3 linked regions of the Elephas maximus indicus genome follow. The protein of the gene in region 1 binds, or shares a complex with, the protein of each later gene. Links are inferred from orthologs where the notes say so. Each region holds a gene or a part of one and is shown on either strand. Other genes may lie near its edges.

Region 1 (10,113 bases):
GTGATACAGCCATTAAAGCAATCAGCTGCTAACCAAAAGGTCGGCGGTTCAAACCCACCCACTGTTCCACAGGAGAAAGATGTGCAATCTGCCCCTGTAAAGGTTAAAGCCTTGGAAACCCTATGGGGCAGTTCCACTCTGTCCTGTAGGGTCACTATGAGTCAGAATCAACTTGAGGGCAGTGGGTTTGATTTTGTCCATAGTCTTTCTGTGCCAGCCTTGCTACAGGGTAAACGTCCATCATGTGGCTGGGGTGGGTGAGGGGGCAGTTGCTGGACCGAGTGATAAAGGAGAGGGTCTCTCAGATGAGGTGGTTCTTATATAGACTTTCAACCAATGCCCCTATTTTCAGCCCCACCCCCACCCTCACATTTGGTGGCAACTTTCTGGGGTTCTGTGACACAAAATAACATGCTTCCTGGCATCCCCCACTGCTAGATTAGTCTCCAGATTCTGAGGTCTGCTAAGCCACTTGTCACTTGCCCATCTGTTCTTCAGTGTCGAAGATGTTGTCACTATAATGACTTTTCTTTTTCTCTTTGTCCTGGGGAAACAGTCCTGCAGTCCTCCCTTCTCACAACATGAAGGGGTGCCTGTGGTACATACAGAATACATGCATTAGTTGTCCTTTTTTATTGATTCATTTCAAAGTAAATCACGGGCATCAGTACAATTCAACACTAAACTCTTAGACATTCATATCCTAAACTAGGGTTCAGTATTTGTTTATAAACCTTTTTTGTCTTTTGAGCACAAGCTTACATACAGCAGCATGCACACATCTTAAGTGTGCCATTTGGTGAGTTTTGACAAATATATATACCTCTTTTTTTTTTTTTTAATCACCCAGACTTTGGTTTTTTATTACCCAGACCCCTAGCAAGGTTCAGAGCATTACCATCATCTTGGTAAGTTTCTTCGCCCTGTCCCAGTCAATTCCCACCTCTATTTCATGCCCAGAGGCAATCATTCCAACTTTTTTCCCAGTATGGATTAGTTTTCCCTATTTGACATCTTCATACAGATGAAATCATACAGTATGTACTCTTGTGTGTACGGCTTCTTTCACTCTGCATAATATTTCTGAGACCCATCCACGTTGTTGAGTATACAGTACTGTTTAGCTCTTTGTTGCTGAGAGTATTCCATTCTGTCAATATATCTGTTTGCTTATCCATTCTCCTGTTGATGGGTACCGGGCCTGTAACCAAATTTAATTATTTTTAAAGTTGCTTTGAAGTATTTTTGTATAAGTCTTTTTTGTGGACATATGTTTTCATTGGGTAAATACTTAGGAGATGAATTACTGAGTCATAGGGTAGATGTATGTTTAGTTTTCAAATCACAGTCTTCTAAGAAATTATACTAATAAGTGATTCTGTTAGGAGCAAGATTCTGTGAACCAGACATGCTATTTAAGCTTAGTCTGAAATTCAAGAAGGAAGAAAAGTGTGGAGCTTTGATTTCACATTTGGGAAAGCCACTATGTAAGTGTTTCTATTCTTAGTTATTATGAATTTCTATAAATAGTTACTAAGGACCTACAGAGTTCAGCATTCTTATGGGAAATGAGGGGTCATTTCAAAAGTAAACGGGCGTGGCTTCTCTTTTCAAGGAGCTCAAGTACTGTAAGGAGTCCCTGGGTAGTGCAAGTAGTTAAGGTGCTTGGCTGCTTACTGAAAGGCTGGTGCTTCAAGGCCACCCAGAGGCACCTTGGAAGAAAAGCCTGGTGATCTACTTTAGAAAAATCAGCCACTGAAAACCCTACAGAGCACAGGTCTACACTGACACACATGGGGTTGCCATGAGTCAAAGTTGACTTGTAGGCAGCTTTTTTTTTTTTAAATGTTATAAGGATTCCACTAACTAATGGAGCACATATGCTTTTCATGAGTGTGGCATCCTTTTGAAAAATGCAAACAACAAAACATATTTTCAGAATAGTTCATTCACTTTATAAATAATTCTGAGGCACCTCAATATGTCCTACACATTATTCCCAGTACCTAGCACTGCACATATTTATTGAAAGAGTAAGTGAATGGGTAAAATTAAATACTGTGGAAAGTTTGCTTCATTTGTGAACTTAAGAATGTTAGGTCCCAGAGAGCAAGACACAATTAGTACAGAGCCATTCCTAGCCCATCTTCAAATATACTGATCGCATATGACACAATCAAAGAAATTACAAATTTATGGTTATCGAGAGTCTAAACCATACAATATAGAGACCCCGAGGACAGCCTGTATCTCACTGAAGCACAACGATCTCACTTTAGTGAGAAATAGGGAATAATGGGAAAGGAGTAGAGCAAGAGGCAGAGACATAAATTCTGGTTCCAGCTCTGTCACTTACTAGTTTAAGGATTGTGGTAGATGATCTGCAAAACTGGTTGCCAACAATTCCTTCCATCCATATAAACACGTTGTTCACTCCATGAGTCCATTTCCTCTCCCCTTGACCCTTGGTTTGGTGACTTCATTGACCAGTAGAATGTAGTGGAGTGACACTGTTTCAGTTCTGGGCCTGGAATCTTCGATGTTCACTCTCTTGTGAGCGAGAAACCACCCTGCTTGGGAATGGCCCTTTTGGATCTTGCAGTCCCGGTTGGGTCTCCTTAGCCAACGCTGCATGGAGCAGAGATGAGCCTGGTGATCTGCTTCTGGAAAGCAGCTGATGAAAAGCCTATGGATCACAACGGTCTAATCCACGACTGGTGGCGGTGACGGTAACGACGGTGCAGGACAAGGCAACGCTTCATTCTGCTGTGCATGGGTTGCCATCAGTCAGGGAGAGGGTGGGTGTGTGACTCAATGGCGGCTAACAACAACAACAGCAAACTGCAGCTCGCTGGCCAAATCCAACCTGTGGCCTGGGAGCTTCGGTTTTCTCTTCTTAAAACTCAGTTGAAATCCATGACTGCCCTGGTATATAGAGAGGACCTGGAGGATGAGAAACCAAGGGAGACAGAGAGGCCTGGCCAGCCCTCAGCCACTCTAGCAGCCCCGGCGGAGGCACGAGACAAGTGAGTGAAGCCACTTTCGATCTTCCAACTCCAAACGAGCCACCCCAACCAGCATTGTGTGAAGCAGAGACAAGCTGACTCCTGCCTAAATTGTAGAATCGTGACAAATAAGTGATTGTTTATATTTTTACCACTAAGTTTTGGGGATAATTGGTTACATTATAATAAGTAACTGATGTAAGGCACTTGGGTGCATTATTTAATCTCTGGACTGGGCAGGAGACTATTTTGGATTCTAGTTTCTTCTATAAAAATCAAAGATTGGCAGGTTAATTCCTGGGGCTCCTCTCTAACATTCTGTTACTCTGGGAGTAATTTTATCTTTCTACAATATGTAGAGAGGGCCTCTCAATGAGAGCTGAAGTGCACATGGTTACATGGATGATGCAAATGGTGAATGCGTTAGGCTGCTAACCCAAAGGCTGAAGCTTCAAGTCCACTCACAGGTGCCTCACAAGAAAGGCCTGGCAAGCTACTGCCAAAAAATCACCTATTGAAAATCCTATGGAGCACAGTTCTACTCTGACACATGTGAGGCCATCATGAGTCGGAACCAACCCGATGGCAACTGGTGGTATCAAGGCTGGGTAAGCACTGTCAGAAGTGCTGAAGTGCAGAAGATGAAATGTGAGTGAAAACAAAGCTCATCTGCTAGAGAAAATACACAAAATGGCCGACGTAATCCGAGGTCTGACGCAGTAAACGCTCCTCCCAGTCATGGGGTAAGAATCTTTGGACCAAGAGACTCAAAGTTTCTTTTATATTGGCAGAACTGGCCTCACATTCCTCAGAAATAGCAAACCATGACTTCCAATAGCTTTATTTTTTATGATAACATCAGTGCAAAGTTCTTCAGTATGACGGAAACCCTGGCTATTGAGTGATCTACAGAAGTGTGGATTTGTCAGATGCCCAGGGCCAGCAAAGAAAAAAAAAATCTTTTGGGTACTTGGTGACTTTCACATATTTCATATGATTTGAATTCTTAGCCCCCACAGAGGACCTAACCCAGCACAATTAGGAGTCAGGCTGTGGAGCTTGCTCTGGAAGTAAAGAAGGGGCTGAGTCATGCATGCTCTTTCCCACTGGCGTGTTATGTTCCAAAATGTTCTCAGAGTAGGAAGATAAACATGGTTTCTGCCTTCAGACTACATGAGCCATTAATGTTGATCAGAAATTGTATCCAAGGTGTTGATTTATTTTCTGTTTGTCCTTCAGTTATGGTCTATCATGTGTAATTCCTAGTAATAGAACTGGGTAACAGGAAGGGAGCCAAGATACCCCAAGTGTTTGTTCCACTTAGCATCTGACTCACTGGGTGTCGGTCAGCAGGTCAGCAAGCAGGAATGCCTTCTGGCCTTGGTTTCTTCCACCATATGAGCGCAGGGCTGCCTTTCTCCCATTCTCTGATTCCAGGAGTGAGCTGGCCCTCAACTGGGAAGTCAAAATGGACGTGTAAATAGATGGGAAATTAAGACAGAAGCATCAAGTCCTAAGAGGAAGGGCTGTTTGAAGTGGGCATGAAAGGAAGGAATTCAAATGCGCAGTGAAAGGTCTAGCAAAGGTTTTGGGACTCAGCAAAGCGTTCTTGCTATTTCAGGTTTGACTACAGTATTTGCTCGGTCACGCAGAAACGTTTGTTTGCCCACATGTTGCCAACGTGGTTCGTTGAAAGTAAAGAAAGAAAAGCGAAAAACAGCAAAATCCAGCCGAGGCAGCGGGCTAAACAGCTAGAAAAGAACAGCGGTAGTAAAAGGAGGAGGGGAGGAAACTTCTTTGTTGGAGTTCAAAACCACCGGCCCCACCCAGCTCAGCACGTCTTGCTCAGAGCGCACAGAGGTGCTGGACAAGGAAAGCTCCCGGACTCCTGGGGAGCAGCTGAGCACAGTTCGCTGCGAAGGGTTGGGAGAGTCTTCTAGGGCGGATGGGGTGGGCTGTTGGCTCCGGCCGCGGTCTCCCGGGAACCCCTACCTCTGGCTCCGGGCTCCCTGTGCTGGCTCGGAGGCCAAGTGGGCCAGGCTCTGCAGGGCAGGGCCGGGCGGAGCGCCTCCCCGCGTTCGCGCCCCTCTCGGGAACTGCGGGGCAGGGGTTAAGCAATGTGTTTGCAGACGGTAAAGCGAATCTGGATGCCAACGGCTCCAGCTCAGGGCAATCGACATTTGTTTCTTGGAACAATTCTTTTCTCCAGTGCATTGACGCCTTAAAAAAAAAAAAAGGTGACTTAAGCAACCCCAGAGTCTTCTAACAAGCTAATTTATTAGCCCCAGCCAGGCTGAGAGCTCGACGTGGCTCTCCAGCAGTAAAAGGGGGAGGGAGGAAGAAACTGGCAGATCCTGGGCCTGGAGGAGGCCGGAGCTCGCCAGGAGCCTCGGCGGGGCTTTCATGGAGGGCAGGGTGCAGGGCGCGGCGCGGGACGTTGCAGGGCGAGGCTGGCCCTGAGCCGGGGAGGGTGAGTCACCCCGGCCGGGTGGGGACGGGGCGGGGCGGGCCGCGCGGACCGAGGCTGTGGCGGGTATAAAGCCCCACCCGGACGGCCGGCTCCGCTCCGCATCTGGGGACACTCGCAGCTCTCGGCGCCCGGCCCAGGTAAGCGGGGCGCGCCGCCCGCTATGGCCCCGGGGCCGCCGCGCTGGCGGGAAGGCAGGACCGAGGACGCGGCCTCTCCAGGAGAGGCTCGGGCGAGGGGACCCGGGAGCCGTCCGGGTCGGCACGGGGCTGTGCGAGGAGCGGGCGCAGGGGCCAGGTGGTCGGGGTGGGGCGCGGGTGCCGGGGGCCCAGCTGCACCCGGGCCTGGGGTGCAGGAGAGGTAGGGATCCGACCTCCCGCCCAAGTCCTCGCAGGAAGCGGGGGCGAGGCCGCGCCAGGGAGGGGAGCGGAGGGGGGCCCCCGCAGGCCCGGCGGGGGTGGGGGGACAGGGTGTGGCCGCCGAGGGAGCCGCGGGACCCTGGCAGAGCCGTCCTCCGTGGGCGCTTTTCCCCACGTTTAACGAAAGCTTTGTAGCCATCTAGAAAGTAACCACATTGCGTTCCGAGTTACTTCACTTGACATAAACGTGGATCCGTGGAACCTGAACCCACCAGCAGTGGGGAAGCTGTGGGGGAGGATGACGGGTGCGAGTTTGTAGTAGTCACGCACCTCCCGAAATAAAGCCGAAGCAACAGTAACAAAACCTCAGCTCGGTCTCCTTTGTCTAGATTATCTTGTGGGATAGCAACCTCTGATTTAAGTGTTTCTGGAGAGTTTCCCCGTTGCTTGGGGTCACATCAGCCGGGTCGAACATAGTTGCATCCGGAAGGAAGTGTCCCCGTGCTTCTGTGGGGAGGGCTGTCTTGAATGTTACTCTGAGTGATGCCGCGGTGAGTCAGGGACTGGGGGTGCAGAGAAGGGCGTGGCTCGAGGCCGCTCCTGCAGCGCTGCCAGGCGGTCCCCCTGTCCTGGTGTGTTGGAATGGGGCTCCATCAACTGACCGTGGAGAAGATCAGAGGCGAACGTCAGTTTCCTCATCTGTGAAAGTGGTTTGAGAGCGTTCATTCTTTCCTCCGCTCCCCCACTCCCACAAGATGCTTACTGAAGATTTCAAAACAATAAATGTGGAAAGGACAATGAGAGCATTAAGCGCTACACAAATGCAAAGTCTCCAAACAAACAACATGGGTGCGTTATTAAGATTTTACGGGTGCTCGATCTGTGTAAAAGCGTGGGTCTCATGGGTGCACACTGGGTCTGTACCAAGAACCAGCTCCAGGAGTCCAGGAACCTGGGCCTCTGAGCTCAGACCGCCTGTGCAGATGAATTCTGTCCAGAAGTGTGTGCTGTCTGGGACTTGGTGCTTTGGAATGCAGAACACACTTCCCCAGCGTTACAGGACGTGGTCAGGCTAGCCCAGAAAAACCTATTTTGCATGCAGGCTATCTAAGTCTGATAGGGCATGCCTGAAATTTTTTTGGGGGGGGGAGGGGGGAGTAGGTATAAGGGAGGATCTGTAGGTAGGAAGAATGAACCAACCACTGAAATATTTTTCCAGAACTTTTCTTACTTCCAAAGTTGGCCATGATTAAATCATTTTCAATGGGAAAATTCTGTCTTTGGCCTCTCTCTGCTGTCTTTTCTCCATCTTCCTCCCACCTCCTCAGACAGGACCCTGTCTCCTGACATGTTAGGACAACTGTCAGACTTGTTCAGTTGTGTCGTTCCCCCCCCCTCCCATTTCAGTGTAGTTACAGCTGTGTAGCTGCCATTGGGTTGATTGTGACTCATAGTGACCCTATAGGACAGAGTAGAACTGCCCCATGTTTCCAAGGAGCGTCTGGTGGGTTTCACCTTCTGACCTTTTGGTTAGCAGCTGAGCTCTTAACCACTGCGCCACCAGTTATAGCTAGGGATTAGCAAATTGAACCCATATTCATTAAGTTAGGAATGGTTGTTGGCCTAAAATCTTCAGCAACCCAAGAGGAGTTGTGTTATTTAAAACACAAAACAACCTTGTTAACCCTCCCAGACCCAGTGCCCCAGCACATCTGTAATTTATAGAATCTGAGGCTGTGGAATCCCGGAGCAACAATGCTCACACACTGTGAAGGAAGCTTTGAGGTGAGGGCCAGATCCGGAGAGGCCAAGGGCACTGAGACTTTCCCACTTAGCTTCCTTCCTTCTCAGGCCATCTGTTATCTAAAAGCTTCAAGGTTTTCTCCAGAAGTGCCTATCGCATCTGAGTAGAAGGGTGAGGCCACAAACGTGTATTTTTTTAGTTGAGGTTTATGGTCTCGCAGTTCCCTGAGGTGCCAAGCGGCCTGCCTGTCTGGAGCAAATGTACAGGAAATATTGCTGACTTACCGACTTTGATCAGGAGTTTGGTCAGGGATTGGAGTCTTGGTATTTAACTTCCTGTGTCTTTGAGCTTTAAAAGGACTGTATTGACTGCCGTTAAGCCTGTAGTCAAGGCCATTAGTTTCCTGGCCACTGAATTTAATTTCTGATTTAAGCAGTTTTCCTTGCAAGGTAGGTATTCTTCTATAATTGGTATTGATTTTGAGGGCTGTGGGCACTTCCTACAATGATGGGCCTGCTATCTGGTACTAAAGCACTATCAGAAGCCTTTGTTTTAGCTCTTTGCTTGTGTGGGCTCTGCCTGCTGAGGCATTTTCTATTTAGGGAGGACTGGGCGTGTAACAGAAGAGTCCCAGACCCTGGAGGGCTGCTATAAAACTCCCATTTATTCCACAAAATATTTAATAAGCACCTAGTACGTGTCACTGAGTTACAGGCACTGGGGGCTGAGCAGTGAACAAAACAGACAGAAAACGCCTGCTCTTGTAGACCCTAAATCTAGCGGGAAGAGAAATAAGTGAATTGTACCAACAATCACAAAGATTGCACAGGACTGGGCAGCGTTCCGTCCTGTTATATATGAGGTCACCGTGAGTCAGAGCAGACTCAATGGCAAGTAACGACATTATAGTTGCCCAGTGGTTTTAAACCTTGTTGGTGTAGTGGTTAAGTGCTACGGCTGCTAACCAAAATGCCGGCAGTTCGAATCCACCAGGTGCTCCTTGGAAACTCTATGGGTCAGTTCTACTCTTTCCTATAGGATCACTATGAGTCGGCATTGACTGGGTACTGGTTTTAAACTCTCCGTTTTCCTAAATTAATGTGAGTTTCCAAGCATGGCTGGGGCTCACTGCCCTTTTAATACAGCTGTCCCGCAGACCTGAGCATCTCCTATAGGCTGCCTCGGGGAACTGCTGTTTAAAGTGATCTTGACTCACCTGCCTTCCAGACTTGATTGTGAGAATCAGGTAGGAATGGAATGTTCCTCTCTTTTTTTGCACATGGGAACCCACTTCCTTCATTTTCCCTGGTACCACACCCTATTCTAGTTGTCGGCCACACCAGAGGAAATTCCAGCTCTTTAAAAAAATTCTTTCCGCCCATTCACTGTCTAGTATATTTTTCCTTCCCCCATTGCCAGAGGCAGGCCCCATCTATTTTGTAGAGAGGGCAGGCCAGCAGGCGCCCAGGCTTGTGCTTCTGAGGGGCTCTACAGAGACTGTCTCTGAATCTTCCTTCTAGGGTACACCTGGAAGCGTTTAAAGCCATCTCAGTGTGTTCGTGTCAGAGCATAACTCAGTAGCACCCAGGTGGCCGGAGTTCTAATCCCAGGTTGAGTCTGGTGGGAAAGCAGGGGCTGTGACATAGCCTTTTTCTCCCTGCCACTCCCAGCCTCCACACTCACAGCTCAGAGGAAATCAGAGTCCCAGGGACACTTGTAAGCCCTTCCTCCCCCCATGGCCTTGCCTCCAGTGTGGAAAGGGGAAATAGGTTCTATCTCCTCCTTTTCCTGCGGACAGGACCCAAACAGCGTCAGAGGTGGGTGCTGGGCTAGGGGTAAGGATGGACTTTATGTCACAGTGACAAAGAGGCTGGCCTGGATCTGCTAGGCTTTGCAAAGATTTGCACAGAGGCTGGGAATTTCAACCTCCAGCTCTGCATGTAGGTAACTGGAGCTGCCTTTTCAATGCTCAGTCTGAGGGAGGGAAGAAGGGAGGAAGGAGGGTGTTGGAAAAGAAAAAAAAAAAAAAGAGGCACTAATATGGAAATGCCCAGTGCGTGTACACCACCGAAGAATTCAGTTGAACGTCTGCCTTGTGCCAGGTACTATGCTCAGACCTATGAGCAAACAGATGTGTAAGACCCACACCCAGCAGACAGGTAGTACGAAAGAGGACATTTTCACAGATACGCAGGGCGACAGGGGCACAGAGCAGGAGGCTGCATGAGCAAAGGGAACACGCAGTACTACTTTCTGAATCCTGAAGCGTCCTTGGACATCAGCTAATCAAAATACCGTGTTCCTGGTGGCAGGAACATGGCAGGCACAGGCCTGAAGGTAGCAGGAGAGTGCTGTGTTTGCTTTAAGAAGAGTTAAGCCTGAGCTGACTTGGGTGCGTGGTGCGTGTGTGTGTGTGTGTGTGTATGTATGCGTGTGCGTGTGTGTGTAGAGGTAAAATGGTAGAAAGGTAGGCAACATCCAGGGTGGAAGATCTTGAATGTGAAGTTGCCTTCTTTTCCGTAGGCAGTGGGGGACCGT
Region 2 (9,567 bases), on another chromosome or scaffold:
TTGTGAATTATTCTGCTTTTATCCGTTAACCACTAAAGACCTGTTTGCTAAACGAGCGGATAAATGAATCAAATGACCCCTTGGCAGGAGCTAAGTCCAGGTTTGATCACCCAGGACTGGGCTGAAAACCTTGGAGCTCAGAGCTCAGCGAGAACACGTGGGAGCTGGGAAGGGCCAGGAAGGAACCGCAAAAGGGCTCACTTCTGAATGGAACAGTAGAGCACAGAGAAAAACACATTCCACAGGCAAAGGAAAAAATGTGTCCTGCTAAACAGGTCTGGTCAGACCCTGCCATGACTCCTCTCCTCTCTCACTCTCGGTGTTTTCTCATGTTTCATTCATCCCACCTTCTACTTCATGCCTATCTCACCGGTGATCTCCATGGGATATTAACCATCTCACTGTTCATGCGCCTTTTATTAAATCATTTCGTTCTGATGCTTGGATATGGCCTGTATATGTTTGTGTGGGCAACGCGACTTAAGAGTGGAGGCCTGGAAGCTGCAGTCCTTCTCGAGGTAATTTTCTCTATGGAAGAGAATTCTAGACTCCATAAATTTAGTCCCTGTAATGGGAATTCAGTTTCCCTTTTTGGCTCTCCCACACAGAGCACCTACTTTGCCTGTCTTGGCATGGTGTCAGGCACTAAGGGACAGACAGACAGATAGACACACGCATGGTTCTTGCCTCTGAGAAGTTCACTAGCTAATGGCATACTTCTTAAAAGTCTGTCCTGAATTCCAGTTATTTGCATTTGTTTCCTCATTAGTCTGTGCGCTACCTGAGCAGGACCCCAGTAGCTACTGTCCTGCCCTCACAGTGCCTCCTCAATAAGTGGGTAAGCATGAGATTGACAATGTAAGATCTGACCAACCTGGAAGTAGCAGGGGAACAACAGGCCTCCTTACAAAATTGTCTGCTCCTGAGCAATCCCGAATGTTTGCTCTGGACCTATGCCCGGATCCAGTCGTAATTTCAAAGAGGACACTTGTAAAGAGCAAAAGGCCTGATTTACTTTGCTCTTCAGTGTCTCATCCAGACCCTAGTTTTCTTACAGACCACCCAGAAAATAATTGGCAGTGATAACAAAGATCTATTATTTCAAATATATTTGAGATTTCCTTCCTTTTGCTTTGGGAATTCTGAAAACAATTTTTTTTCTTTCTTTTTTGAAAACTGAATTTGATCCCTTAAAGGGAATTCAGAAAAATAATGAGCTGAGGCAATGGGTGTGGATCTAGGCTGTCTCCCTCACCTCTTACCAAATAAAACTTTCCCACCAAAGAAGTGGGCAGCAAAGGATAAATTCCAGATGTGACCCAACAGGAATAAAGAACTCAGAAGCCTCCTTGTCCCCAGCAGAGTACATCCATTTTTCCTTGAAGAGTTATCCAGCATCCACCTGAATCAGCCAACAATAGCCATTGTGACAAACTCTATTACATCCTTTGGTGGGGGTAGGTGACAGCTATTTGGTGAAGGGACAGGAAGCCTGAAAATTGCTAAAAAAAATAAGTAAATTCATTGTTTTGGATTTTGATGGCAATTCCGAAATTATGTTCTGGGGAAAAAGAGAAGCTTAAAGATCCTAAAATTTTAATCAAATGTTCCCAGCACTCTGAATGCTAATTTAGACATTATAACACTGAAAGGGTTCCATTGTTTCCCTCATCATTACATTTTAAAAGACTGGGCTGGGTCCAAGGGGCATACCAAGTGGGTAGTGCTCTAAAAAAGCCACATTTTTGGATATGTCAGTGGAAAGCAGAAAGGCACCCCGTCTCAGCTCCACCCAGCCTAAAGGCCTGACCTCACTGTGGTGGCAGCCTGAGAGGCTGGCCACAGGCCAGACATGGGAGGAAAAGGACTTATCCCATGTTGTATCCAGGAAAAAGCCAGGGGTAAGCATGACCTAGACATCAGGGTGAGACCAAACAATTGCTTTATACCCAGTTGACCCTCAAAAAAAATGCGAAACACTGAAATAAGATGCTTCGAATGGTGGATCAAGGACCGTAACGAAGAAACTAGCCTCTAGCTCTCAAGGAGAAGGGAATGATTAAATAGGATCCAGACAGGAATCTGTGGGGGCGGCGCTGATGAAGAAATTTCTAATGAGTTATAAAAAGAAAAAAGTTATATGAACTCATTATTTCTGCCTCAACCGCTGGCATTATTTATTTATTTATTTTGGCATTATCTTTTGCAATTTGCTGAAACACTTTGAAGGCAAAGATCACTGACAGGGTGCTTCCATGAGTCGCCTCACCTCTAAGCACAGGATACAGAAATCCAGTCTTAGAGATTTAAGCTCAAGCTGCAGGGCGAAAAAAAATCGGTAGCCACTGCAAACCTCTTAAGGAAAAGCCACCTCCCAAGGAAAGCTGAGGGAGGCTGCCAGGCAGCATGCAGGCCCATCACCTAGCCAGCAGTCTCCCCTTGCCCCAACCCCCCAACCCAGTGCCATGGTCTAATTACTGCCCTCAAATACAGTTCAGTCAAGGCACTCTCCTTCAGCTTGCCCGTCAGTGCTGGTGTGACTCACTTCCTCCTGGAAGAGTCCTCTAAGATGGCACAGTTCCTTTTTCCTTCAGGCAGTGTTCTGTCCAAACCATCTGCAGTCTCTGGAACCAGCAGGGCCACACCCACATGGTCTCACAGCTGAGTCATAGACCCCTCACCACTAGGAGAATCCTGGAGTCCCCAGTGGTAACCCCGCCCTGCAGAATGCTTCCAGCTCCCCGTGGGAGGGAAGAGAGGTCCGGAGAGGGAAGGGTGGGGGGTTTAACGTATTCCAGCTTTGGCTAGGGCTCCGCTTTCCTCATCACCCCCACCCGACATGGCAGTAAGCCCCGGGTTTCAGTTAGGCGGATCAAGATCGATGCTGGGAAATGCAGCATCCAGGGCTGGAAAGAAGCTCCATTCCTTTGGCCAAGTTCAAGTTGTGAAGGAGGTACAAATGGCCTGCGGCCTCTATCTCCGTCTCACTGCGCTGGGGTTGGGAGACCTTTCATGAAAACTACTCTTCCCCCATCTCTTTCCAGGGCCACTTATTTAATGAAGATGACAAGAAGAGAAAACTTAATTCAGTCGAGATTCGCTTCACAGTCTCCCCCCAACAACAACAAAAAACACCAGCAACAGAAAACCCGCTTTATAGAGAAAACCAATAGTCCTCCCTCTCGCAGCAGTGAGAATCTCCCCGTCTGGTAGACAAACAACAGGAAGCCCGACCTGAAGCTTCTGTTTGGGTGAGGGGCTGGTGTCTCCTTTAGGAAGGGAATCCGCCAGCTGCCAACCCGCCCCAGCCCTCCCCAAGCCTGCTCGGGTCGTCTAGCCGGAGGGGGCTACGAACACTTGGACAGAGGTCCGCCTGCGGCCGGAGCCCACAACGAAACCACACACGCCGGCCGGGAAAGGGGGCCAGAAGCCGGGGTTCGAGTAACTCGGGAGACTAGACGAAATGCAGGAAAGGTGGGCGTAAACGAAGACAAATTAAAAAGAATGAGCGAGCAAAAGCCCAGGGGCACCAACATCCATGTCCCGTAGTAAAATACAGCGCACGCCCCACACCCGCCCGCGAGGGTCTGGGGACGGCCGCGCGGGGACCGGGGAGGGGCGCTCTCGCCTCGCCTGGGTGTGGCCCGGCGCGTGGAGCAGCGAATTCTCCAGCAGCGGCTCCCCGCCGAGGCGCTTGGTGCCCGGGGCTCCGCAAAGCCAGGTCCGGCAGGCAGAGCAGCAGGCTCGGGGGCTTTCCCTAGGCGCCAGGGCTGGGACAGCAGGAGGGACAGCCCGCCTGGCCGACGGGCAGTGCGCGGGTCCGGCGGCACTCACCTTGGCCGGGAGGCGTGGCACGGACGCTCAGCGAGCTGGGACGCAGGGCCAGTGAGGGCAGCGCTGCAGGCACTGCGCCTTAGTACGTGGGGGCGGGGGGGGGGAGAGGGCGGAGGCGCGAGTCCCGCGCGGGGAGCAGGAGGAGCCTTGGCCTGGTGCTCCAGCCGCCACTCACCCCACCCCTTGTCTCCTCCCTCCTCTTCCTGCACACCCCCCCCACGCCACCCCCTCCCCCCACGGGCGCCTCCCAGACACCCTGCTCTCGTTTTGCAGAAGAGCTTCACTATTGCCATTCTCTCGTCCCAAGTGAGCATGTATTATCGAAAGTCCTCTTCAAGTAGGAATATTCAGACTCTTGAATATTTCAGGCCATCCCCACCCTCGGCCGTGCCCTTCCTGTCGGGTTTGGTTTTAGAAAGTGGGTGAGTGTGAAAATCAAAAAGCCTAGTCGTTCTGCGGGTGGGGCGCGCTGGCCCAGACCCAGCTCAGCTGTAAGCAAGCGGCTCTTCTCCGGTAACCTACAGGTCTCCCCGCAAAAAGGTCTAGGGATTACATTTTCTAGACGACATTGCAGGGAGGGGCACGTGAAATCTTAACCACCGCGAAGGCGTTCGCTGCAGACTTAGTTGTTCTAGAATTAGGTTCTGGGATATCAGCCCTGGCTTTCCGCGGCCTGTGGTCCGGATCCGCGTGCATTTACAGAAGAAGCCGCCCTCCCCGACCGCCTGACTCGCTGTGGTGCTGGAGGGAGGGGAGTGTTTGGCTTGTCAGCTCTAGAGGTTTTTCAGACCCTTTGTTGAACAAGGGATTTACCCTTCACGGCTTATGTGGCTTCACTTGGTCAATAGCTCAGCTTCAGTTGGGCTAAAAAAAAAAAACTGTTAAAACCGAAGGTTCAAAACCTTCTTTTTGTTCTGTAATTGGCCTGCCTGCTGGGCCCTCAAAATCTTTAGAAATTTCTTGAAGAAATTTAAAGAAAACCTAGGTGTTTGTTACCGGATTCTACCTGCCACCCTCCGTGACACCTTAGACATTAATAATTTTAGTTGTGGTTTAGGGTTTAATGTAAACTGCTAGCAACAATTGGCAGAAAAGGAATGAGTCCCAAACCCTGGGATTTTCCTTCACACTTCTTTCCCAGGGGAGATCCTGAAGGAGTGAGTGATCCCAAAGGAATGAGCAGACTCAGGGAATCCTCCAAGTGCTACCACGTGGCTAAGCTTGACTGTTGCCAGGAAAATCCAACTTGGAATTCAGCTCTTGCCTGCACTGGTGCTGACTTTTCAGGGGCAGTTCTTCAGAATCTTCCCATGTACTTCCCAAATTCATATCAGGCCTCAGTTTACAGTCACAGTGGAGACGATCCTGGGTCCCTTTTGTCCCTGGAAAGATGCAACTGGATTTACTCATTTAGGAGCCCTGTAGTGCAGTAGTTAAGCTCTCTGATGCTAAGGAAAGGTTGGCATTTTGAACCCACCAGCAGCTCCGAGGAGGAGAAGAGACCTGGCCATCTGCTCCTGTAAAGATTACAGCCTAGGAAACCCCATGGGGCAGTCCTGTTCTGCTCTGTCACATTGATCACTACGAGTTGTAATCTACTGAATGGCACACAACCACAATTCACTTATTTAATTTCTTCATTTGGTCAGTAAACCTTAAGGAATGCTTACTGCATGTGCTAGGCTCTGGGGATTCAGAGATTAAAGAATCAGTTCCTTTCCTCAAGTGCTCCAAGTCTTACTGGGAGATAGATAAGCAAACAATTAAAATCTAGTGTGATTAGTGAATGGCAGAGGCATGTGTTCTGGACGCCATGGGAACATTAAGGAAGGGCTTCCAAATCACCTTGGAGTAGTCACAGGATGATTTTTTTTGGGAAGCAACATTTGACAGATGTTTTAAAAATCACAATAATGCAGGAGTCCCTAGGTGGTACAGATGGTTAAGTGCTTGGCTACTAGCTGAAAGGTTGGCAGTTCAAACCCACCCAAAGGGGCCTTGGAAGAAAGGCCTGGTGATCTGCTCCTGAACAATCACAGCCTTGAAAACCCCCTGGAACACAGTTCTACTGTGCACACACGGGGTCACCATGAGTCACAATTTACGTGACGGCTACTACCAACAACAATGTTGTTTGAGCCACCTGGAAGCAACGACACTGTGATTTTTAAATCTGATTGTAAAAAGATTACTTTTTTATTATAGAAGATTTGGAAAATATAGCAATATATAAAAAAAAAATAATTTGTAAACCCATGAACCAAAGATAAATATCTTTATGTATCGCCTTCCAGTCTTATGCATATATACATATATTTACAATTTGTGATTACACTGATTATCAAATTATTTTACTTTTATCATGTGATACTTTATCTTTACTATTTTTTATGTCATTAAATATCTATCAGGAATGTGAGTGTACATTTGCTCATTCCTTTATGTTTTTTCATTCAACAAGTAACTTTTCACCTGCAATGTGGCTTCTCTCGTCTCTCTTTCCTGCCTGCCAGCTGAAATCTGAGGACTCTGAGGCCCTAGTGGATCCAGCTTCACAAAAGGGAAGGAACTTGGGTTTCTGAAACGCTGTGTTAAATGCTGAAGATACAGTAGGGAAAAAGGTCAGCATGCTGGACACTATCCCTGCTCTCATGTAGCTTGTTAATGATTTATGGATCAGTTGCTCCATAAAGCTCTAAGCCTGCCATGCCTATAATCCTTTTCTAGGAGAAGTGGTCCCAGGCAGGTCTTTCTCAGAAAGTAGTTGTGCCTTGTAAACCACATGCGTGCAATGAAGTCAGGGACCAGAGCCTGAACCCAAGCTGCCAGGAAGGCTGGTGCTGTAGCAGGGGGTGAAGGGATGAGGTGAGGAGAGGAGCAGAATGAATGGCCATCAGAGGAAACGAAACAGAGGCTCAAGCCGGTGTGTCTCTGGAATGAAGAGGAGGCGACGTTCAAGTTCTCCACCAGACTTCTGGCAGGTTCCAGTGCACTAAACGCCGGGAGCAGGAGGGATTGTTTTCCTGGGTACTTTCCCACTTCTTCATGTCACATAACAACAAAACCCCATTACCCAGTGGTTTCCAGTTTTTTGGGGGGTTGGTGGCTGTGGCAGAGAGGGCGGGCTGTCTAACAGAAATGTGTGTTCCTCCTTCTATAGTGTAGAGTTGTCTCTGAGAAGTGGCTGCTCAGCCAAGGATTACGTTCCCAGCACCTCTTGCACCTAGGTGGGATCCTGTGACCAGAATGGGACAGTGTGGTGTGTCACTTGGTGGCCAAATGCAGAATAGGAAGTGATGTGTGTCGCTTGCCAACTAAAGCAACAGCGGTGACTTTTCTGCACTCTCTCTCCAATTGCCAGGTGCCTCTAGGGGTGGAAGAGCCACAGTTGGAAGGAGCCTGGGTCCCTGAATCACAGTGTGGAGGAAAACCACCTGCTGATCAGGAAGACCAACCAGCTTTGGAATAGTTATATGGGTAAAAAAGAAAACTGAAATTTGGAAGTTTATTTGTTTCAACATAGCCCTATCAAACAGTGGGCTTCTTTTGAGTGCCAGCATTTTTGGCAGCACATTTGAAAGGATTAAGTTGCATGTATATTAACTATACTATAGTACTGATGGAAACCCTGGTGGCGTACTGGTTAAGTGCTATGGCTGCTAACCAAAGTGTCGGCAGTTCAAATCTGCCAGGTGCTCCTTGAAAACTCTATGGGGGCAGTTCTACTCTGTCCTATAGGGTCGCTATGAGTCAGAATCGACTCCACGGCACTGGGTTTGTTTTTTTGGTTTATATAGCACTGATCACTGAGTAGAACAGTTGTTGCTGTGATCGCTCAGTCTTTGATACTCATGAGACAAAGTTCTTGCAGGTCTTAGGGAATGCATATAGTTTCTTTGTTTCCTTATGTGTATCAAGTTGTACCGTGCAGCACACAGAAACCATGTGCAGCCTAGCTTAACATTCTGCCTGCCCAGACACTATGTTAACAGTGTGAATCATAGTTGTAGCAAAAGTAAACTTTATCCATCAATTAAAATGCCTTATTAAGGTTTCGGAAACCCTGGTGGCCTAGTGGTTTTTTTGGTTTTTTATTAAGGTTTCAGGTCTCTAAATGGTTCAAATGGTTTACACTTGACTGCCAGCCTAAAGTTTGGTGGTTTGAACCCACCCAGTGGTACTGTGGAAGAAAGGCCTAGTGATTTGTTTCTGTGAAGTTACAGGAAAGAAAATCCTGTGGAGCAGTTCTACTCTGTAGTATGTGAGGTTGCCATGAGTCAGAATCTACTCGATGGCAAATGGTTTGGTTTTTGGTTTGGGTTAAGGAATCACAGTAGTCATCCATGGTATGTCAGTTTACAACCACTGATTTACAAGTATTTGGTCAAGACTTTCTGCTGGAAATCCAAACAAACAAAACCCCAAAGGTGTCTGTACTGGTATACATAAATAGGGAGATATTATAATTGTTAAATGTGTTCCATATTTTTGAATGTTTAGGTTGTTTCTAATTTTTTGCTTTCAGAATAATTGTATATAAAGTAACTGTTTTTGAGCAGATATATTTTCTCAAATGCTTATTTTCTTAGGATAGATTTTTGTTAGGGGTTGTCAACTTTTTTGTTTTATGTGGATCTTAGAGGACAAGGAGGATTTTTGTGGAGGCCGAGAGGAAAAAGCATTGCCATGGAATTGTGGGGAAGCATGTCTATTTCAGGACTTGCCTTCAGTTCTGCACGGGGACAGTGTAGAGCCCCTAGGGCCTTAGATGGAAATGAGTCCTGAGGGGGTACCTGTCCTGGGGCACCTTAGATACTCTGCTGAGTCTTGGAGCTTTTTTCTGAAGGTAAGAAGGAGCCACTGGGAATGTTAAGCAGGGAGTGAGTGACTCTCCTACTTACCAGGTACATGACTCTGGGCCAGTCATTTCATCACTGTGAACCCAAGTCTCCTTATTGGTAGAATGGGGATTGACAGCTATCTCTTGGGGCAACAGAAAAGACTGGACAAGCCAATGATCATGAAGGCATTTAGCGAGCCCCAGCAGGGAGTTTGCTAAGAATAAGTAGACCCTCACCTTCTCTGTGCTTCCTTCACTCAGCTTAATTCCTTAGGGAGTTTAAGGCAGGCTGTTCAGTGGTCCAAGTCCCTGGTGTGTGATTTATGGGTGAACATTTTGGAGCAGAGTCCTCTCTAGGGGACAGGGAGAAAGAGGGAGGAAGACTGAACTGAGGTTCCTTTTGTGCTAACGTAGCTCTTGGAGCAATAGAAGCTGAAGGACTGTAGCCTTTTTTTTTTTTTTTAAAGCACGGGAGAGCTCTTAGCTTGGGGTTGGAAACCATCTGCTTTATTCTATAGGTGAGCTTCAAATTCTGATAATAATTTATCAAATATTTACTGAGCACTTACTAATTCCTGCACTTTCTGGGAACAAAGCATAGAGCAATGACCAAAACAATCAAATTTCTGCCTTCATGGGCCTCACATTCTCACGGAAAAGACAAAGTACAAAGAAGGGGGATAATAAAGCAAACAAACAAAAAATTGGTAATTTGAAATGAGTGGTATGACTGATAGAGGAATCAAAGGGGACAGGTTCTAGGTAGAAAGTCAGGGAAGGCTGTACCAAGGTGGGGGCGTTTAAGACTTGGAGGAAGAAGAGGAACTAGGGTTTGCAAATAAAGAAGAGGCAGGAGGAAGCTTTCCAGGCAGAAAGGAGAGCATTTGGAAAGG
Region 3 (9,057 bases), on another chromosome or scaffold:
GAAGCATTATGAAGGGATTTCCATTTCTGGAAAAAACTAACAGCGAAAAACCACTAAAATTGCTGGATAGAATTTCAAAGTCTTTTTTGAAGCAGCAAAGTGCTGACAGGGGAGTAAGAAATGAGTAGGCCACACTCTGAAGTGGAAGCCAAGTCCAGGAGGTGACCAGAGCACCAAGGCCCTGAGGGCACCAGCCAAACCAAGGCACCTGAACTTGGCTTTGATGGTTGCCAGAGAGGAATGACCTCGGGTTCACCTGAGGAGGGGAGACAAATGGGAGGCCCTCCATAATGCTGGGACCCCAGAGAGCTACACGTTTAAGCTAAAAGTCAGAGGAAACCCCACCTGACCCCTGTGGGACTGCAAGAAAAGTTGCCTTGGTGCTAAACAGAGCAGAAGAGGAAAGGAAACAGCCCCTGAGTAACTCTAGACACACAGCAGCCCAGATTCATCTGTATCACTTAGTGGGGCAAGGGAGGGCAAGAAACTTAAGCCCAAGCTTCTGCAATTGCACTAGGAGGAACACATCTTTATGACTTCATCCTACACCTCAAAGAAATCCCACAAAGATTTTCCCCAGGGAACTGAGCAGTTCATATTCGAAAGAAAATGATGAAGCACCGAAAAAGTGATCTAGGGATTAGGCAGGGAGGATATCTCAGGTCTCGGCCTTCTCATCTATAAGTGAAAGGGCTCAACCAGGTTCTCCTGAAAGTCCTTGCTCTGGCAAGGGGATTCTCTGGAGAGCCAGCTCAGTGAGGGAAAATTGTTTCCCCACTTTGTATTCTTGGGGTATCTCCTCAGAGTGAAGAGCTAGGAGGATGGATGTACGGACCAGCCCAACCTATGTCCTCCAAACCACGTTGGAAGGAAAAGAAAAGGAGGCTGCACCCAGCTCCTGACTCTGGGGGAGGGCACGGGGCACTGTCTGAGACCCCAGACTGGGCCTTTGATGTGTTCATGAACAGGTGGGCAGCTAGGGCTGTAATAGAGGCTGCTGAGGAAGGAGGCGGGGAGCCCCTAGGGCATCCCCAAAGCTGACCTAGTTGAGTACCCCATAATTACTCCCTTCCTCTCTTGGGAAGCTACAAATAGGGATGCCCTGTCTCTAGGCTCCTACAACTGAAACGTCAACCCAGTGGTGAGTGCCAGCTGCTTGGGTCCTGCCTTGGGTAGGGTGTTGGGGAAACTCAGGGGCCCCCAATGGCCTGCCTCTCTCCTGGATCAAGGTCTGGGCATGGGGGCAGAAGGATGACCATGGCAGGGATTGACAGGGTGAGAGAAGTCAGATATGGTAGGCTGGGGGGTTCCCTTTGGCAGTGAGCGGCTGTCAGGAAGTTGGGCTAGGAGGTGTGCAGAGCTGGGATCTGGCTCTGGGTAGGGGCATGGGCTAGAAATGTGGGCGTTACCTTCAGTGAGCTCCCTCTGCCTCCTCCTTGCTTCTCTGCTTCATTCCTGGGGACGGGTTGAGACAGGCCAGGGCTGCACAGGAAAGAGAGGATTCCCAGCCAGTCTCCAGGCACCCAGCTTCTGGAATGGCAACAGTGGTGGTGCCAGGCAGGCTGGCGGGGGCCCAGAAGGGCATGCTGAACACCTCTGAGTTTCCCTTAGCCCCTAGGATCATGGCCCCTTCCTATCCTGGGCTCCTGGACACCCTGTTCTAATCCTTGGCTGTCAGAGTTAGAGCCCGGGCAGTTTTTGGTACCACCCAAGCCTTCCCGCCACCCACCAGCCACGTGGGCCATTTGCTCCACAGGGCCCACAAAGGGTGAATCATTAAGGAGAGAGCCTTGGTGGTTGCTGCTCTTCGTTGCAGGACTCCCGTCCCCTGGGGGAGCCAGGGGTGAGTCATTAGGCTCACATGGGAACAACTCTTGCCTTCCTGCTGCCTTAGGTTCCCCGGGCTAGAAGCCTCCTCCCAGAGAGTACTGGGTGGGGACACCGGAATTGGAGGAGGTGGGCAATTCCAGGAATGGCTTCCCCTCTAACAGGGCCTTCTATCTCAAGATCCCTGGGTCAGGGGATGGTCTCGGGTGGGAGGGTCAGGGGTTGGTAAATGCTGGAGCTGGCCATCTGGGTCAAGTCCCTGACCAGGCCGTGGGGTGGGATTAATTCCATTTTATAGGTAAGGCACCTGAGATCCAGATAGGATAAATGCACCATTGTCACAGTTAGGAGAGAGGTAGAGAGGATTCTAGAAGTTTTCCCTTTGGATGCAGCCTCCTTCAGTTTGAGGGAAGAGGGATCACTAGAGGAGTGGTGGTGAGGCGGCAGGGGTCCTCCTAGACTTGACTGTCCTTCTACTGCCCAGCGTCTGTAAGGGCCTGAGGATAAGGCAGCGCTGGCTGAGGGTCTCCTTGGGCGAGTTCGTAGGGAAGGAACTCTGGGTCCTGAGGGAGGAGACTTCTAGGGCCATGGGCTGCACCTACGGAGTGGGGCTGGGCCCTTCCTTGGTGTTGGGGACTGAGTAAAGGTGGGAGAGAACCAGAGAGTCCTGAGGGACTCTCTTGGTGGGGAGGGAAGGTGGAAGGGTCAGACAGACACTCTGTCTTTGAGGGGTTTTCAGTGAAATGAGGGAAATGAGACTCCCACCCAGGAAAATAACACCCAGGGGGCAGTAGTGAGATGAATTAGGAGGGGCTGGTGTGGTCAGGGAGCTCTGGTGGCACAGTGGCTAAAGCACTCAGCTGCTAACCAAAAGGTCAGAAGTTCGAATCCAGCAGGTGCTCCTTGCAAACCCTTTATGGGGCAGTTCTACTCTGTCTTATAGGATGAGTTGGAATTGACTCAATGGCAATGGGTTTGGTTTTTTTTTTTTTTGATTGGTGTGGTCAGAGAGGGCTGCTCAGAGAGGGGGTAGCTTGTGGCCCAAAGCCTAGGGGAGAGTAAGATGGTCTGGGAGCAGTGTCTGGGGAATGCAGAGGGCAAGGTGAGCAGGGAGGCTGGCCTGGACCTCCGCCGTGAGTCACACCCTTGTTCTGTGACAGTGAGGATGACCAGACCCTTGGAGCAGGCGGTGGCTACCATCGTGTGTACCTTCGGGGAGTATGCAGGGCGCTGTGGGGATAAGCATAAGCTCTGCCAGGCGGAGCTCAAGGAGCTGCTGCAGAACGAGATGCCCACCTGGACCCCGGTGAGCAGCCCGGGGCCCATCCTCCTTCCCCATCCAGTGAGGAGGTACTGCTTGGATTCTGTAAAGAGAGACCTGGGGACAAGTATGAGCATAGGACAGCAGGAAGGGTGGAGGCTAGACCGCATGGAGGTGACAGCAAGGGGACTGACACAGCAGGAACCTCAGTTTCCTAGTCTGTGAAATGGAAGAACAATCATCACACCTGCAGCCTGCAGGGTTGTTGCAAGTATTGCCCGAGAGCACTGTGAAAAATGTCTGGCTCATAGCAGGCACTCAGTGGCAAAAAGTAGGTGTTCAATAAATGATGTGAGAAGGAGGTTTTGGGAGGGGGATTGAAATGGGCTCATCATCAGAACAGGTAGGCTGAGGCTGGCCCTCCCAAGGGACGTGGATTGGGATGGGGTGGGAGCACCTAGGAAGGGAGGGAGGACAGGAGTGTATGAAGCTGCTTGGCCCTCCTCATCTTGCCCCCTACACCCCTCCCTTGCACAGATGGAGTTTCGAGAGTGTGACTACAATAAATTCATGCGTGTTCTGGACACCGACAAGGACTGTGAGGTGGACTTCGCTGAGTACGTGCGTTCACTAGCCTGCCTCTGTCTCTACTGCCATGAGTACTTCAAGGACTGCCCCTCGGATCCTCCCTGCTCCCAGTAGCCTCTGCTCCAGAGGAATGGGCCAGCCTGGAGTGCAGCGGTCTGGCCCACCTCTGCCCCTGAGGTGGTCCTGGGCAGGTCACCATACCCCTCCCTGCCCTCTGGCCTGTACCTCTTTCAGTCTAGAGTCCCCCAGATTCACCCCTGATACGTTGACCCATTTTACAAGGAAGCTCAGAGATCTGAGGGACCTTGCCAAGGATGCACACCTGGTGGTGGGTAGAGCAGCGACTGGCTCCATCCTGCCCTCTGAGGGCTGCACCTTCTACCTGGGGCCTGTGGGCCAGGGTGGGAAGAGGTGGGAGTCTGTTTTGAGGAAGTTAAGGCTCAGCAGAGTATGGGCACACAGGAGACCATGGATGGGAAAGGGCCTATTAACTCCTAATAAAGAACTGGTGTCAGCTGGACTTGGTTTGGTTCTTCTGCTGAGATTGTTGCTCCTTTCTGGTCTTTTCCAATGAGGACAGGAGGCTGAGGGGAGGAGCCCTGAGTTCCCAGAGGACCCTGAAGGTAGTTTCAGACCCCATAGAAATGAAAGGGGCTGAAGTTTCCAGTAGGTGGGGCAGGGTCACACACAGGACTCCAGTCCTGGGAGGACCTGAGAAAGCCTCTCTTTCTCTGGGCTTTTTGAGGGAGAGGTCCCCTTGGGCTTTCATGGAGGGCAGGAGGGCAGCCTAAGCTTCCTTGGGGACCATGTTGCTGAACTCTGCCCAGTCAGGATATTCTGAGCAGGAGGGGAGGGGCTGTTGGGGGTGGGTGGGTGGGGTGTTTGTTCCCAATCTGGGCTGTGGTGGCCCAGAAGGCAGTAGTAATAGGATTAGGGTGTCTGAGGTGTCTGCTCCCAGCCTGAGCTGGAGGGGGAAGGGATACCTTGAGGAAAGCCTATCCCTGAGGCCAAAGCTACTTTATCCCTGAGCTTACACCCAACCCTGGGACCTTAACATTGACCCCTGACTCCCTCATTCTGAACCATTTCACCTCCAGTTCTCCACCCCAACCTGGATTTTTCATTTCTGACACCCACTGGAACTCTAAACTCCCCATCCTGACAGTCTACCCCTAAGCCCCAGCCCCTTTCAGTCTATCCCTGTGCGCTCATGCCTGGCTCCCCACTCCTCACTGTCACTGCCTCACCCAGGACCTTTCTTTGCAAACATTCCTCAGGCATTCCCACAGCCTCCTTTGGGTTAGTCCATTCCCCTTCCTGACCTCTGGTTCTCCGACCCCCCGCCTTATTCAACCTGGTAGAGCTCCATTTGGGACATTCCTTGCAGCACTAGGCCTAGGGCTCCCCTCCCTTGGTTTCTGGGCAGCCATATATCCAGGGGAATTTCCCATCTGTCGCCCACCAACCCTAGCTTTCCTACTGCCTGGGGTGACTACTCCTTCCCTGTCTCTGCACATGCTAGGCCCCTCCTTCCGGCTTCCTAAGGGCTGAGCTCTATATGTTGGGTGGTGCCCACCCATGGAGGTCCTTGTCTGTGCCCTCTGTGCTCACCCACTGCCCATCTGTGCCTGCTGGGGGCTGGAAGGTTGTGTCCAGGCTGGGCTGGTTGAGGGGCCGTGGCACTTACCACATGGGCCCACGGCAGGAGGGCTGTCTCCACTCTCCCCCATCCCCTGCCATGGGCAGGGCCTGGCCAGGGTATAAATAGGTCAGACCGCTGAGCTTCCCCCATTTTTCTCTCTCCCCAGCCCTTTCTCTCTGCTCAGCGTTTCCTGTCGCTTGGTCTGGTGAGTTGTGGTCGCCTGACTGGCATGAAAGAGGTGTCAGACCAAGGCTCTGGGGCAGGAGAAGGGGAAGTGGGTGGGGGCCAGATATGGTAAATGGATCCAGATGTAAGATCCTGATGTGGAGGCTCTGGGGTGGGATGTGTGTGTTTGTAAGACAGAAAAACAAACACACAGAAAGGTCAGAGGGGGGCTGAGATGCTGGGAGTTGCATACACTGTCGCTGCAGTGTGTTTGGTGTGTGCGTGACCATGTGAAGGCACACTAGCTTGTGTTTGCTGGGTTGCATGAGACTGTGTGTGCATGGTCAGGTGTGGTAAGGCAAATGGAGGCTGAAAGCAACTGTGGGTTTCTGTCTGGTGGTGTCATGTGAGCCCTGCAAGGAGCCATGCAGCCCTGCGCCTCCCCTTCTTCCTCCTAATCCCTGTCTGTGCCACTTTGTCCTGCCCTGCCTCACACCAGGCACAAGGCGGCTGGTTTTTTCCTGCTATGGGCCCCTGGGCAGGCTTCCAGGGGCCGCGCCCAGCACTGGGAGCAAAAAGAATGGGCTGGGGCTGGAGGCTGTGGGCTGGCTTTGGGGGTGAATGAACTGACTGAGCTGTGGAAAAAGCGTTGTTGTTGAGCCACCGCCCTGGGGAGACCCAGCCTGAATCTCCAGAGCCCGTGCAGTGGGCCCTGCACATGTTTGCTACTCCAAGCATGTATTTCCTGCTCCACATGCCCACCTCCACCCCTAGAAGCTGAGCCCACCTTCCTGGGCTCCTCCCACCATGGAAGTAGTATCTCACCAAGGGATCCTAGAGGGATGGGGAGTGGGGTGGGGCACTGTGGACACATAGCTGGGGGTGGGGTAGATAAGGGTGCCTCTCCCCCAGATCCTGACAGCTGCCATGGCACACCCTCTGGAGAATGCCCTGGATGTGATGGTGTCCACTTTCCACAAGTACTCAGGCAAGGAGGGTGACAAGTTCAAGCTCAACAAGTCAGAGCTAAAGGAGCTGTTGACCCGGGAGCTTCCCAGCTTCTTAGGGGTGAGTAGGTGCCACCTCGGAGGATGCCCCCATGGGGAGTTCCCACGCAGGAAGGACAAGGCCCTGGAAGGCATGGGTCTTTTGTAGACCATTAGCTATGGAACGGGGCAGTGGGAGATGGGGCAGAGAGCTCGCATTGGATGCCTGGCGCAGAAGCACAGTGAACACCCCCACTCACTGACTAGTCCCAGACAGGAAGCAGACTGAGGCTGAACAGGTAGATGATGGCCTAGATACTATGCGATGTTTTGCACTGACTATATAACCTAACTGGAAGGAAAACTGAAGCTTAAAGAGGCTAAAATAACTTCCCAAGGCATCTAGAGCACAAAACTGAGATTTGAACAGACTGCCTGAGTCTTGCGACTACTCCAGGAATGGACGATCTTTGAATTTCAATTTGTCCTGTGAATGTGAAGATACAGTTATGGAGACACCTCATACCCCTACAGACCTTCCCCCAAATGATAACAGCTTCCATTTGTATCAAACTTTATACAGTTTATGTATTGCTTTCATGACCATTACCTAATTGAATTTTTTTAAATTGTAGTGAAAAATACACACAACAAAACAAAGCCAATTCAACAATTTCCACATGTATAATTCAATGACATTGATTCATTTCCAAATTATTCTACCACCATTAACATAAACCCCTCAGGAAAACTAATTGGATTCTTAACCCTGGGAGAAGATGTTGTGGCCCCATTTTTCAAGTGACAACATCCAGGTACTCAGGAAACTCTTCCTCATCCCAGGGACATCCTCTTCCTGTTGTAGCTTAGCCCTGAGGGTTGGAGTTTCAAAGGCCGAGACCCCTAAGAGAGTGGCTATGTAAGCCTTTGGAGCTCTGAGTTTGAGGTGGAAACCTGGTTCTAGTCTTGGCTCTTCCACTGGGCTTCAGTTTTTACCTGTAGCCTCTTCTTCCTCCAGAAAAGAACGGATGAAGCTGCGTTTCAGAAGCTAATGAGCAACTTGGACAGCAACAAGGACAATGAGGTGGACTTCCAGGAGTACTCTGTCTTCCTGTCCTGCATTGCCATGATGTGTAACGAGTTCTTTGAAGGCTGCCCTGATAAGCAGCCCAGGAAGAAATGAATGTTCCTCATATGTGGTCGGGGGCTCTGCTGGCTGGGGTCTCCCCTGCAGGCAGTGGGGGTGGTCACTTACCCCGGCTCCTCTAAGCATGTGCATGATGCGGAGCAAATTCAATAAAGATTCTTGAAAACCAAGAGCCTGCTGGTCTGGGGGCTAAGGGGGATACCAGGGGAGGTAAGGGTTTGTGGGATGGTGGTGGGCAGTGCTGGTAGTTGAAGTGCAGTTTTATGGGGAGCTGACTAGTGAAGATGGGGGAGGGGCGTGGAGTGACTGAGGGTGTGCGTGTGTGGGAGGCGACAGCTGACTGTGGATGGGGCTGAAGGCAGGGAAAGGGGCCACCAGAAGCTTGGAATGCCCAACTGTGAGATCTTAGCCAGCCCATTCTCGCCTCCCATCCTGTTCCAGCCTTGCCTCTGGCAGGGACTCTAACTGAGGCTGGGATGGGCTTGAAGGTCACATCTGCTCCTAGATGGGGGTCTGGAAAAAGAGTTTGGGTGCCCTGAGGGTAAGGGGGGGGAGGGAGGAAATAAAGTTGAGTCATGGGGAGGGAGTAGCTGAGGCCGGGGTGTGTGTGGGGGAGGTTTTCCTGAGCCAGAGGGCTGGCTTTCAGGCCTGACATTTACAGTCCACTGGCTTCAAACCACAGGGATGGATTAATCCTTTGCTGCCCATGTTTGGATCAGGGAGGCGATACAGAGAGAGATTGGGCTGTTTGCAGCAGCATGAGAATATAGCCATTCTCCAACCCGCTGTCCCTGCTCCAAAGTCCCATGGGATGAGATCTGTTACCAATTAGGGATCATGGCTTTCAGAGAAGGACAAGGGGCCTTGGGAAGGATGAGTGGAGATTGGTGGCTAGGGTGGGAGTGAGGGAGATGGTGGGGAAGTGACCATATTTTTTGAGACAAAACTTCGGACATGATCTGATAAATGAAATTGAGATTTTTTTTTCCCAGAAAATGTCAGGCATGATGTTGCTTTGATTAAAAAAAAAAGATTAGGGTAGGTTAAACCCAGTGGGTTCCAGTGTGCAGTGGACAGGATTGATGTTGGACCTCAAGGCCATGCCTGGATGGTATCGCGTACCTTGATGGAAGACATGAGTCGAGGTCAGGTTCAGAGGCAGCGTTTGGTCCCCTTGACCTCTCAAGCTTTTCCTTCTTCCACTCATTACACTGTGTTTTTCTCTTAAGTTTCAGAAACATGCGGTAGGTGACTCAGAGGTTCCCTCAGAGTTTGGCCACGGAAACTTGGGAAGAATTTTGATCCAGGAAAAAGTTTGCTTTCTCCCCCTTCTCTTTCCCTCCTTACTCCTCCTCCCCCAGCCTGTGCCGTCCCCAGGGACTCCCGCTTGACTCACTGCTTCGGAAACTCCTGTTGCCTAGCAACCAGTCCCTGCTGCCTT

Evidence for each region.
Region 2: the proteins of ANXA2 (region 1) and S100A10 are in contact, whole or in part, in a crystal structure (PDB 4FTG), measured with the Homo sapiens proteins. The link is inferred for Elephas maximus indicus from reciprocal best matches to the Homo sapiens genes ANXA2 and S100A10. Residues at the interface, in NP_001002857.1 of Homo sapiens: Val4, Glu6, Ile7, Leu8, Lys10, Leu11, Ser12, Leu13; in NP_002957.1 of Homo sapiens: Phe39, Gly41, Phe42, Asn45, Gln46, Ala51, Lys54, Ile55, Leu79, Ala82, Cys83, Tyr86, Phe87, Met91.
Region 3: the proteins of ANXA2 (region 1) and S100A4 are in contact, whole or in part, in a crystal structure (PDB 5LPU), measured with the Homo sapiens proteins. The link is inferred for Elephas maximus indicus from reciprocal best matches to the Homo sapiens genes ANXA2 and S100A4. Residues at the interface, in NP_001002857.1 of Homo sapiens: Leu13, Glu14, Pro21, Ser22, Ala23, Tyr24, Ser26, Val27, Lys28, Tyr30, Thr31, Asn32, Phe33, Glu36, Arg37, Leu40, Thr44, Gln69, Asp70, Phe73, Arg77, Arg78; in NP_002952.1 of Homo sapiens: Lys35, Leu38, Pro43, Ser44, Phe45, Leu46, Gly47, Lys48, Arg49, Thr50, Asp51, Ala54, Phe55, Lys57, Leu58, Asn61, Leu62, Gln73, Phe78, Cys81, Ile82, Met84, Met85, Glu88, Phe89, Phe93.

The regions. Positions count from the first base shown.
Region 1 is NC_064831.1:50,492,973-50,503,085, reverse strand, and holds the start of ANXA2 (annexin A2), read left to right. Parts: upstream 1-5,505; 5' UTR 5,506-5,612; intron 5,613-10,113. UniProt on the Homo sapiens protein: Calcium-regulated membrane-binding protein whose affinity for calcium is greatly enhanced by anionic phospholipids. It binds two calcium ions with high affinity. May be involved in heat-stress response.
Region 2 is NC_064821.1:186,188,556-186,198,122, forward strand, and holds the start of S100A10 (protein S100-A10), read right to left. Parts: upstream 3,944-9,567; 5' UTR 3,835-3,943; intron 3,801-3,834; exon of another isoform or gene 3,629-3,800; intron 1-3,628. UniProt on the Homo sapiens protein: Because S100A10 induces the dimerization of ANXA2/p36, it may function as a regulator of protein phosphorylation in that the ANXA2 monomer is the preferred target (in vitro) of tyrosine-specific kinase.
Region 3 is NC_064821.1:191,398,198-191,407,254, reverse strand, and holds S100A4 (protein S100-A4), read left to right. Parts: upstream 1-5,434; 5' UTR 5,435-5,523; intron 5,524-6,395; 5' UTR 6,396-6,410; coding exon 6,411-6,551; intron 6,552-7,487; coding exon 7,488-7,652; 3' UTR 7,653-7,786; downstream 7,787-9,057. Other genes in the region: S100A3 (protein S100-A3), read left to right, coding at 2,993-3,133, 3,626-3,790. UniProt on the Homo sapiens protein: Calcium-binding protein that plays a role in various cellular processes including motility, angiogenesis, cell differentiation, apoptosis, and autophagy.